2 linked regions of the Callithrix jacchus genome follow. The protein of the gene in region 2 interacts with the protein of the main gene of each other region in a pairwise test. Links are inferred from orthologs where the notes say so. Each region holds a gene or a part of one and is shown on either strand. Other genes may lie near its edges.

What was found.
Region 1: the proteins of HMBOX1 (region 2) and MFAP1 interact in binary tests that used the Homo sapiens proteins (3 or more experiments, as listed by UniProt). The two-hybrid records come from large-scale screens. The link is inferred for Callithrix jacchus from reciprocal best matches to the Homo sapiens genes HMBOX1 and MFAP1.

The regions. Positions count from the first base shown.
Region 1 is NC_133509.1:31,484,482-31,488,694, reverse strand, and holds the start of MFAP1 (microfibrillar-associated protein 1), read left to right. Parts: upstream 1-1,405; 5' UTR 1,406-1,541; coding exon 1,542-1,620; intron 1,621-4,213. UniProt on the Homo sapiens protein: Involved in pre-mRNA splicing as a component of the spliceosome.
Region 2 is NC_133514.1:12,806,019-12,810,261, forward strand, and holds the start of HMBOX1 (homeobox-containing protein 1), read right to left. Parts: upstream 2,850-4,243; 5' UTR 2,567-2,849; exon of another isoform or gene 2,219-2,566; intron 1,795-2,218; exon of another isoform or gene 1,760-1,794; intron 1-1,759. Other genes in the region: INTS9 (integrator complex subunit 9), read left to right, coding at 3,357-3,365. UniProt on the Homo sapiens protein: Binds directly to 5'-TTAGGG-3' repeats in telomeric DNA. Associates with the telomerase complex at sites of active telomere processing and positively regulates telomere elongation.

The sequences.
Region 1 (4,213 bases), on a different chromosome or scaffold from region 2:
GTGAAATATGCCCTTTCCCTTTTTTTCTTTTTTTTCTTTTTTTACACAACCCAGCTGGTAAATTGGGGCTGCTTCTGTTATTATTCTACAAGTCCTTAAAGAGTTCTTAAATAGGCCGGCCGCGGTGGTTCACATCTGTAATCCCAGCACTTTGGGAGGCCGAGGCGGGCGGATCATCAGAGGTCAGGAGTTCAAAACCAGCCTGAGCAACATGGTGAAACTTCGCCTCTACTAAAAACACAAAAATTACCAGGTTGTGGGAGGCCGGAGTGGGTGGATCCCTTGACCCCAGCCAACTCGGTAAAACCGCCTCTACTAAAAATACAAAAATCAGCAGGGCGTGGTGGCGGGTGCTTGTAATCCCAGCTACTCAGAAGGCTGAGACACAAGAATTACTTGAACCCGAGAGGTGGAGACTGCAGTAAGCCGAGATCGCGCCACTGCACTCCAGCCTGGGTGACAGAACAAGACCCTGTCTCGGTGGGGCGCGGTGGCTCACGTCTATAATCCCAGCACTTTAGGAGGCCGAGGTGGGTGGATCACGAGGTCAAGCGATCGAGACCATCCTGGTCAACAAGGTGAAACCCTGTCTCTACTAAAAATACAAAAATTAGCTGGGCATGGTGGTGCGCGCCTGTAGTCCCAGCTACTCGGGAGGCTGAGGCAGGAGAATTGCTTGAACCCAGAAGGCAGAGGCTGGAGATCGTGCCATTGAACTCCAGTCTGGGTAACAGCGAAACTCTGCCTCAAAAAAAAAAAAACCCTGTCTCAAAATAATAATTACCTAGAAACTTAAATGCAAACACTTTCCAGCCAGGAATATATTTTAATAGGTAGTTTCCAACTACCAGTGGAAGAACCTGAAAGCCTAGAAGTGGAGTTTTGGGATTTCGGGCAGGCAATGTCTCAGGCACCTTGGGGGATTTTTTTTTTTTTTTTTTTTTTTTTGGTCACTGGATTAAATCAGCACCACCTGCCCTGTGTGACACCAAATACCGCACCACAGCTCACACTGGCCTCATCAACTGACCTAATCAGATACTATTACCAAGATTTTTACTCCATCTAACTCTACTTTTTCTGAGCTTTCAACAAGCCAAACGGCAACTCACTGGCGCCTCAGTTTCTTATTAATTATGCTGTTCTTGGCTTCTAACCAACCTAACACGTGGAACCTTTCATTAGAACCTTCCTCACCGCAGGGTCCGCCGGTCCTACCAGCAAAGCCCAAAAGAAGCAAAATTTCCCGCCAAAGGCGGTTTCCAATTTCTGCGACGTAGAGGACCCGAGGGCAGCCGAAGAGCAGGCGCAGAAACAGACGCAACTTCCTAGCTGTGGGCGCTCATAGGTCCTCCACCGTCCCACAATCCTCTCGTTACATATTTCCGGTTTATCTAGCCCAGCCGTAAGCGGTTTCGCTATCAGTCGAGCAGCTGTGTTCGTGAACGTAGGTGGAAGGGATCGCTTCTCTTCGTTGACGTTGTTGGTGTTCACTGTTTGGAATTAGTCAAGTTTCGGGAATCACCGTCGCTGCCATCAACATGTCGGTCCCAAGCGCTCTCATGAAGCAACCGCCCATTCAGTCTACGGCTGGGGCCGTCCCGGTTCGCAATGAGAAAGGTACGGTGCTGACAACCCTCTTCCCAGCCGAATTTTACTCTTTCGGCCCCAGCAACCTCCAGATCTCTCCCAGGTCTGGAGAGGTCTGTCTCTCCCAGACAGACCACTTCTATCCCGCCAGCTCTCAAGATTTGGCTCCCAAATTCTTCGACCTTTCCACCCCCACCCACTCGCATCCGATCTTCTTCCTGTGGCCTGCTCTCATATTCAGCAAGCACCCCTTAGCCTACACAAATTCCTTAGACTAATATGTACATTATATATATTACATATATAAAAGTACTTAATAGTTACTTAGGAATTTAACTATATATCAGAATATAGATGTCTAATATCCTGGAATATATGTATTAGTCTAATATTAGAATATAATATCACTACATATTACTAGAATATATGTATTAGTCTACTTAGGAACTTAAGTATATATATATTAATCTAATAATTAGGGACTTAAGTATATATCAGAATATAAATATATAATATCAGACTAGATAGATATGTAGGTAGGTAGATACATAGACAGAGAGAATGCCTATTTGCTGGGCATTGTGCGGGATATAGTCCCTCTTTTGCTGTCCATAGAAGACTGCTTATGCTGCCCAGATTGGACTCGACGTCCTGGACTCCGGCTGTCCTCCTGCCTCAGCCTCCCAGGTAGACACCACCGTGTCTAGCCTCAACATGGATTTTGGGAATTATCTTTGAATCCCTATAGATATTTATTCATCTGAACTGCTTATGAATTCCATTGTGTACACTGTAACCAGCCAGAGGCGGTGGCTCACGCCTGTAATCCCAGCACTTTGGGAGGCCAAGGCAGGTGGATCCCAAGGTCAAGAAATGGAGATTATCCTGGCCGACATGGTGAAACCCCGACTCTACTAAAAATACAGAAATTAGCTGGGCATGGTGGTGTGCACCTGTACAGTCCCAGCTACTTGGGACGCTGAGGCAGGAGAATTGCTTGGACCTGGGAGGCGGAGGTTGCAGTGAGCCGTGATCGCGCCACTTCACTCCAGCCTGGCAACAAAGCGAGACTCGGTCTCAAAAAAAATAAATTAATTAATTAAATAAACTGTAACCCACAGTTTATTCCCTCCTGAGGGGCAGGTAGTTGTCCCATTGCTGTTTTTTTCCCCCTGTTAAAAAAGTGCTGCGGCTGGGCACTGTGGCTCACACCTCTGAGGTGGCGGATCACCTGAGGCTAGGAGTTCCAGACCAGCCTAGCCAACGTGGCGAAACCCCATCTCTACTAAAATACAAAAAATTAGCAAGGCGTGGTGGCAGGCACCTGTAATCCAGCTACAAGTTCAAGTTCTGCAGTTGTTGTTCTTTAGCCAATTCAGCTTTAATACCTCTCCAAAGTGAGTTGTAAAAATGTAAGAATTTGGCCGGGCGTGGTGGCTCATGCCTGTAATCCCAGCACTTTGGGAGGCCAGGGTGGACGAATCATGAGGACAAGAGATCAAAACCATCCTGCTAACATGGTGAAACTCCCTTGAACCCGGGAGGCAGAGGTTGCAGTGAGCTGAGATCGCACCACTGCACTCCAGCCTGGCAACAGAGCAAGACTGTTTCAAAAAACAAAAACAAAAAAGAATATAAGAATTTGTGGAGCACATTGGCTCACACCTGTAATCCCTCACTTCAGCAAGCTGAGGCAGGAGGATCACTAGAGGCCAGGAGTTCAAGACCAGCTTGGGCAACATAGCAAGACTCTCATTTCTACAAAAAAATTTAAAATTAGCTGGATGTAGTGATGTGTTCCTGCTACTTTGGGGAAGCCAAAGCAGGAGAATCACTTAATGCCCGGAAGTTCAAAGCTGCAGTGAGCTATGATTGTGCCGTTATACTCCAGCCTGTGCAACACCTTGAGACCCTGTCTCTTCAAAACAAGGCCGGGCGCAGTGGCTCACGCCTGTAATCCCAGCACTTTGAGAGGCCGAGGCGGATGGATCACAAGGTCAAGAGATCGAGACCATCCTGGTCAACATGGTGAAACCCCGTCTCTACTAAAAAATACAAAAAAAATTAGCTGGGCATGGTCGCGTGTGCCTGTAATCCCAGCTACTCGGGAGTTTGAGGCAGGAGAATTGCCTGAACCCAGGAGGCGGAGGTTACGGTGAGCCGAGATCACGCCATTGCACTCCAGCCTGGGTAACAAAAGCAAAACTCTGTCTCAAAGGCTGGGTGTGGTGACTCGCAGCTGTAATCCAAGCACTTTGGGAGGATGAGGCGGAAGGATCACGAAGTCAGGAGTTCAAGAGTAGCCTGGCCAACATGGTGAAATCCCATCTCTGCTAAAAATACAAAAATTAGCTGGGTGTGGTGGCTAAACCTAGAGAGCGTATTAGACACATGAACAAGATGCCCAGCATCACTAGTAATCAGGGGAATGCAAATTAGAATAACAAGATGCCATTTCACACCTGTTCCACCTGTTAGATTGGGCAAAAATGTAAAAATCTGATACAACCAAGTGTGTAAATGATGAATATATGGGAAATAAAGCTCTGAGGTTCTCAAAGTTTTTTTGTTGTTTTTTTTTTACATGGAGTCTCACTCTGTGCAGAATTGCGATCTTAGCTCA
Region 2 (4,243 bases):
ATGCTAGGAATATATTTGGCTTACATGTAATGATTGTGATCCTGCTGGTAGCCAGAAAAAAAGTTTAACGAATGCTTTTCCCAGTAAATAACTTTGCATTTCCATAGACAAAACAAAAGAAATTTTGAGGTAAGGATAGGTGGAATAGAAAACACTCATGTTTTTCCAATTCCAAATATTAACAAATATGTTGGTTTTTTATTTCTAAAATATTAAATATTTTTTTTTAATTTCGTGACTATTATAATGTTTCAGAAAAATAAAACAAAACACTCCGTTAAGTAGTTACATAGGATTTTTCTCCAGCTTTTGCAAAGTAATGTTTCAAGTTAAGATACAAGCTTAAAACAAATGATTCTGAAAATCCTGGTCTATCACAAACTAAAGGCTTAGTTTTGAATCAACATATGGTATATTCTACATCTGAGATTTAGAAACCATTTTTTTTCCTAGTCAGGTGAATTGAAATATACATGTTTCCCACTCTTACAGTCCCCCTTATCTGTGTGAATGACCAACAGCAAAACATTCAAATCAATGGTTATAAAATACACAGTCTATTTATGTGGTTTTCAGTTACCATAAAATCTAAAGATCCCTTACTAATGATAGGTGGCAGATTCAAGAATTGGTAAGTTTGGGGAATATATTCAATTCTTAACAGTCTAAATAGAAAATGATGCCAATTTCTTTATTTTAAAAATCTATTACACTAAAAAACCTGTCACATAAAAAGGGTTACTGAAGAACTTATAAGGAAGTACAAAATACGTGATCTTATATTCTGCTAGTATGTTATTAAAAACTGTGAGAAATAAGAGATGCGAGAATACTTTTTTTCACTCTAATTGAAATTTGAAAAAAATTTAGAATTCAAATTTCCCAACTTTGACTTAGAAACATAATTAAACTAGATCAAGCAACTTAGTTGTACAATTTTAAAGTAAGTTTTAATGCAAAGCACTGCAATCCTGATGTGATTAATTACCTGCGGCATAAATGCAAAATAACAAATGCATTTAATGATGCATTTTACGGTAAAACCACAAAAAGCACAACCACATTGGCAAACGAAATAAAAAGGCACAGGCGGTATTATGTTCATCAGAAAGAGAAACGTTGTACTAAGCCAAGAAAGAAAGGAAGGACTAAATGAAGGAAGAAAGGAAGGAAGGAAGGAGGGAGGGAGGGAGGGAAGGAAGGAAGGAGGGAGGGAGGGAGGGAAGGAAGGAAGGAAAGGGAAGGAAAAAATGAAGGAAGGAAGAGGGAAGCCTTCTACACCTGCAGGATCCCAGAGAAATGAACTAGTCATTTCATTCTATCCTATATGATACATGGGTGTTCTTGTTTTTCTTTTAAGCTTCAGCGTAAATAAAAACAGTAATGGCTTTATACCATTCAACTTTACATAGTGGTATCTTTAATGTCAACTGCATTCTTCCCTTCACTCACCCAATGCTTCTTCACTGTTCCATTCCACCAGCTTGCAGGCAAATGCATGACAGAACAGGGTGGAGTAGAAGAAAAATACAAGCAGCGCCTTTCAGCACACCCCCCCGCCCCGCAAATAATTTCCAACAGTTCTTCCTACTACAAAAATGAGTCGCCCTATCTCAAGATACACAACAGACATTCTGTTCCTTTAGTAGACAAACACAGACGCGTACACAACCCAGCACTCTCGACTCCCACCCCAGGCCCCCCGAATCTTCAACAATTATTCGTCTATTTCACACGAAGACAAGACACGTCTACCTACTGTTTCGGGGTGAAGGTGGGTGGAGGACGCCTTTCAAAGTAGCCCCAATAGTGTAACCAAAACACGGTTCCGGAATAAAATATTAAGAAACACTTTTCCTTTCCCACCTATCTACCGACTTGAGGATGCAAAAAATCCATCTCCACATCACACCATCGCTACAGTTCTCGTGGCTGGAGTTTGGGGTGGAGATTCGTCCAGGGAGGGGGCGGAGGCGGGTGGCGGAGTGTGAGCGGACGACGGGACACGAGCGAGTTGCTGAGCCCGGCTGCCCCGCACCACGTCGCCAGCCCAAACGCCCAGTACCAGGACCTCACGCCCGCCCCTTAGCCCAGGCCCAGAGCGAGCGAGTCCGCGCTGTCTAACTTCTCATCTACAGACACAGCTCTAAGACGAGGAGGGCACACAAGTACACGTCACACAGTTTAAAACACACTTACCCCAAACAAACCAACACACCTGCAAATCACCTCACAGTTTCCCGAACTCCACACCGGAGACCCCACCTCCAGGATTCAAACCTTCCGCTCATAGTGGAGGAAACCAGGAGGAAAGACTTGGGGGCAGTCGACGCCTTTCCAGGACCGGCCCCCACGAACTGCCCCACCCCACAGCCCGCGTCCGGGTCATCCACTCGGAAGCCCCCAGCTTCCTCCCTCCTCTCAATCCGGCCGCTTACGAGACCCATCCCCAGCGTCCGCTCACTTCCTCCCCAAAACCCCTTTAAAAAAAAAATTGTTTTAAGTGAAGAGAAAGAAGTGAAGAAAGAGACTTGAGGTAGTCCGGCTTCCAAACCGCTCGACTCACCTCAGAATCCTCGCTGAGTTCTCTCCGCCCGGCAAAGCCCCCTCCCCAACGTCCCAGTACGGAAGGCTGAGGTAGGGAGGAGGGAAAGCAGAAGGGGGAGGGGTGTCTTCCGCGTGGGGCGCCCGTCGGGAGGGGACTGGGGAGGGGTTGAGGCCGGCGCAGGAAGAGGAGAAGGGGGAGGGGAGGCCCCTATCTCCCAGTCTCCCCCTGAAAACCTTCCTTGTCTCAATCACATCAGACTGACTGTCTTTGTCTGGCTGACAACCGCCATATTGATATCAACAGCCCCGCTCCCACCTGCTGCCGCCGTGCGTTCCTGGGAGTTGTAGTTCCTGCCTCCCCTGAGTAAAACCCGGGAGCCTGGAGCCTAGAGGCCATAGAGAACTACAACTCCCGGCAAGTTCCGCGCTCATCCGCCTGCTCTTTGGGAGGAGAGGAAGGGGGGTCGGAGCCATCAGGACTACACATCCCAGAACACCATGGGCCCCAGGCCTGTACGGGGGACATGATATCATGCTGGGGTGGAGAGGGAGGATGCATTGGCGGCGGGGATGAATTTGAGCTGACGGAAGGAGGCGTTCGAGAGGAAGGAGAGAAAAAGGAAAGGCGACCACAGTTCCCATGATGCCTGGGAGAATACATTTCCCATGATTCCCCTGGAAAAGACGTGAGGATGAAAGACTGCAAGTCCCGCGATGCTCTCGGCGGGCAGGTGACGGAGATTGCACCGGAAGACGCTTCCGGGGTTTGAGGAGTTCGGTGACTGCTATTGAACCACCAAAAGTCCATTATGAAACTGGTGAGTCTTCGCTCCTAGGTTAGAGGACAAAGGTGATGCTATATCCTTTGGACCTCTTTTTTTCTACGTTGGGCAGGGAGCCGTCCCACAGGATGGGTGGCAATTAGGAAGCTGAAAAGTGGAGTGGGCTAAGGAAAGCTGCTTTTTGTTGTTGAGAAGGGTTGAATTCCCCCTCCCGTCCCCGCTATCTCCGCCAGGCGGTCTTTTTGCACTCATTGGTGGTTGCTTTTGTTCAGACAAGACGTTGGCTCTGTCACAGTGCTTTCCCGATGAACTCTGGGCTTGGTTAACCAGGTTTGGACTTCCTAGCTCCCACGTGTGTTGGCGTCCGGCACGTCTGCCGGGGGGCTACCGACCTGCGGGAGTCCCCGAGACCGCCAACGTAGATGTCTCGTTCAACCTGAGGGAGAGAGTGCGCGGAAGTGAAAGAAAAAAGAAAAGCGGAGTCTGGAGGGCTGGCTTAGGCTATGTCCAAGCAGCAATTTTATTTTTGCAATATGTTCCATTATATACTTTGTTGAAGTTAATGTTGTTTACGCCAGATCAACATACTTAAGTTACAGTAAGCAAGTTACGCCCAGTAAGTAAGTTAAGCCCAGTAAGTCAGTTACGCCCAGTAAGTTACGGTAAGTAAGTTACGCCCAGTAAGTACTTAACAATTGTAAATACTTAAGTTAAATCACAAGGTAAGTTACAGTTACGCCCAGTAAGTTATGGTAAGTTACCAAGTGTAAATACTTAAGTTAATATTTTACAATGAAGGTAACAAGGGTCCAAAATGAACACAATCAAGCAATAAACCATAAGGAGCCGAAAGTAGACACAGTGCCTCCCAAGTCCATATCCATAAAGTAATGTCTGTTAATTATTTTGAATAG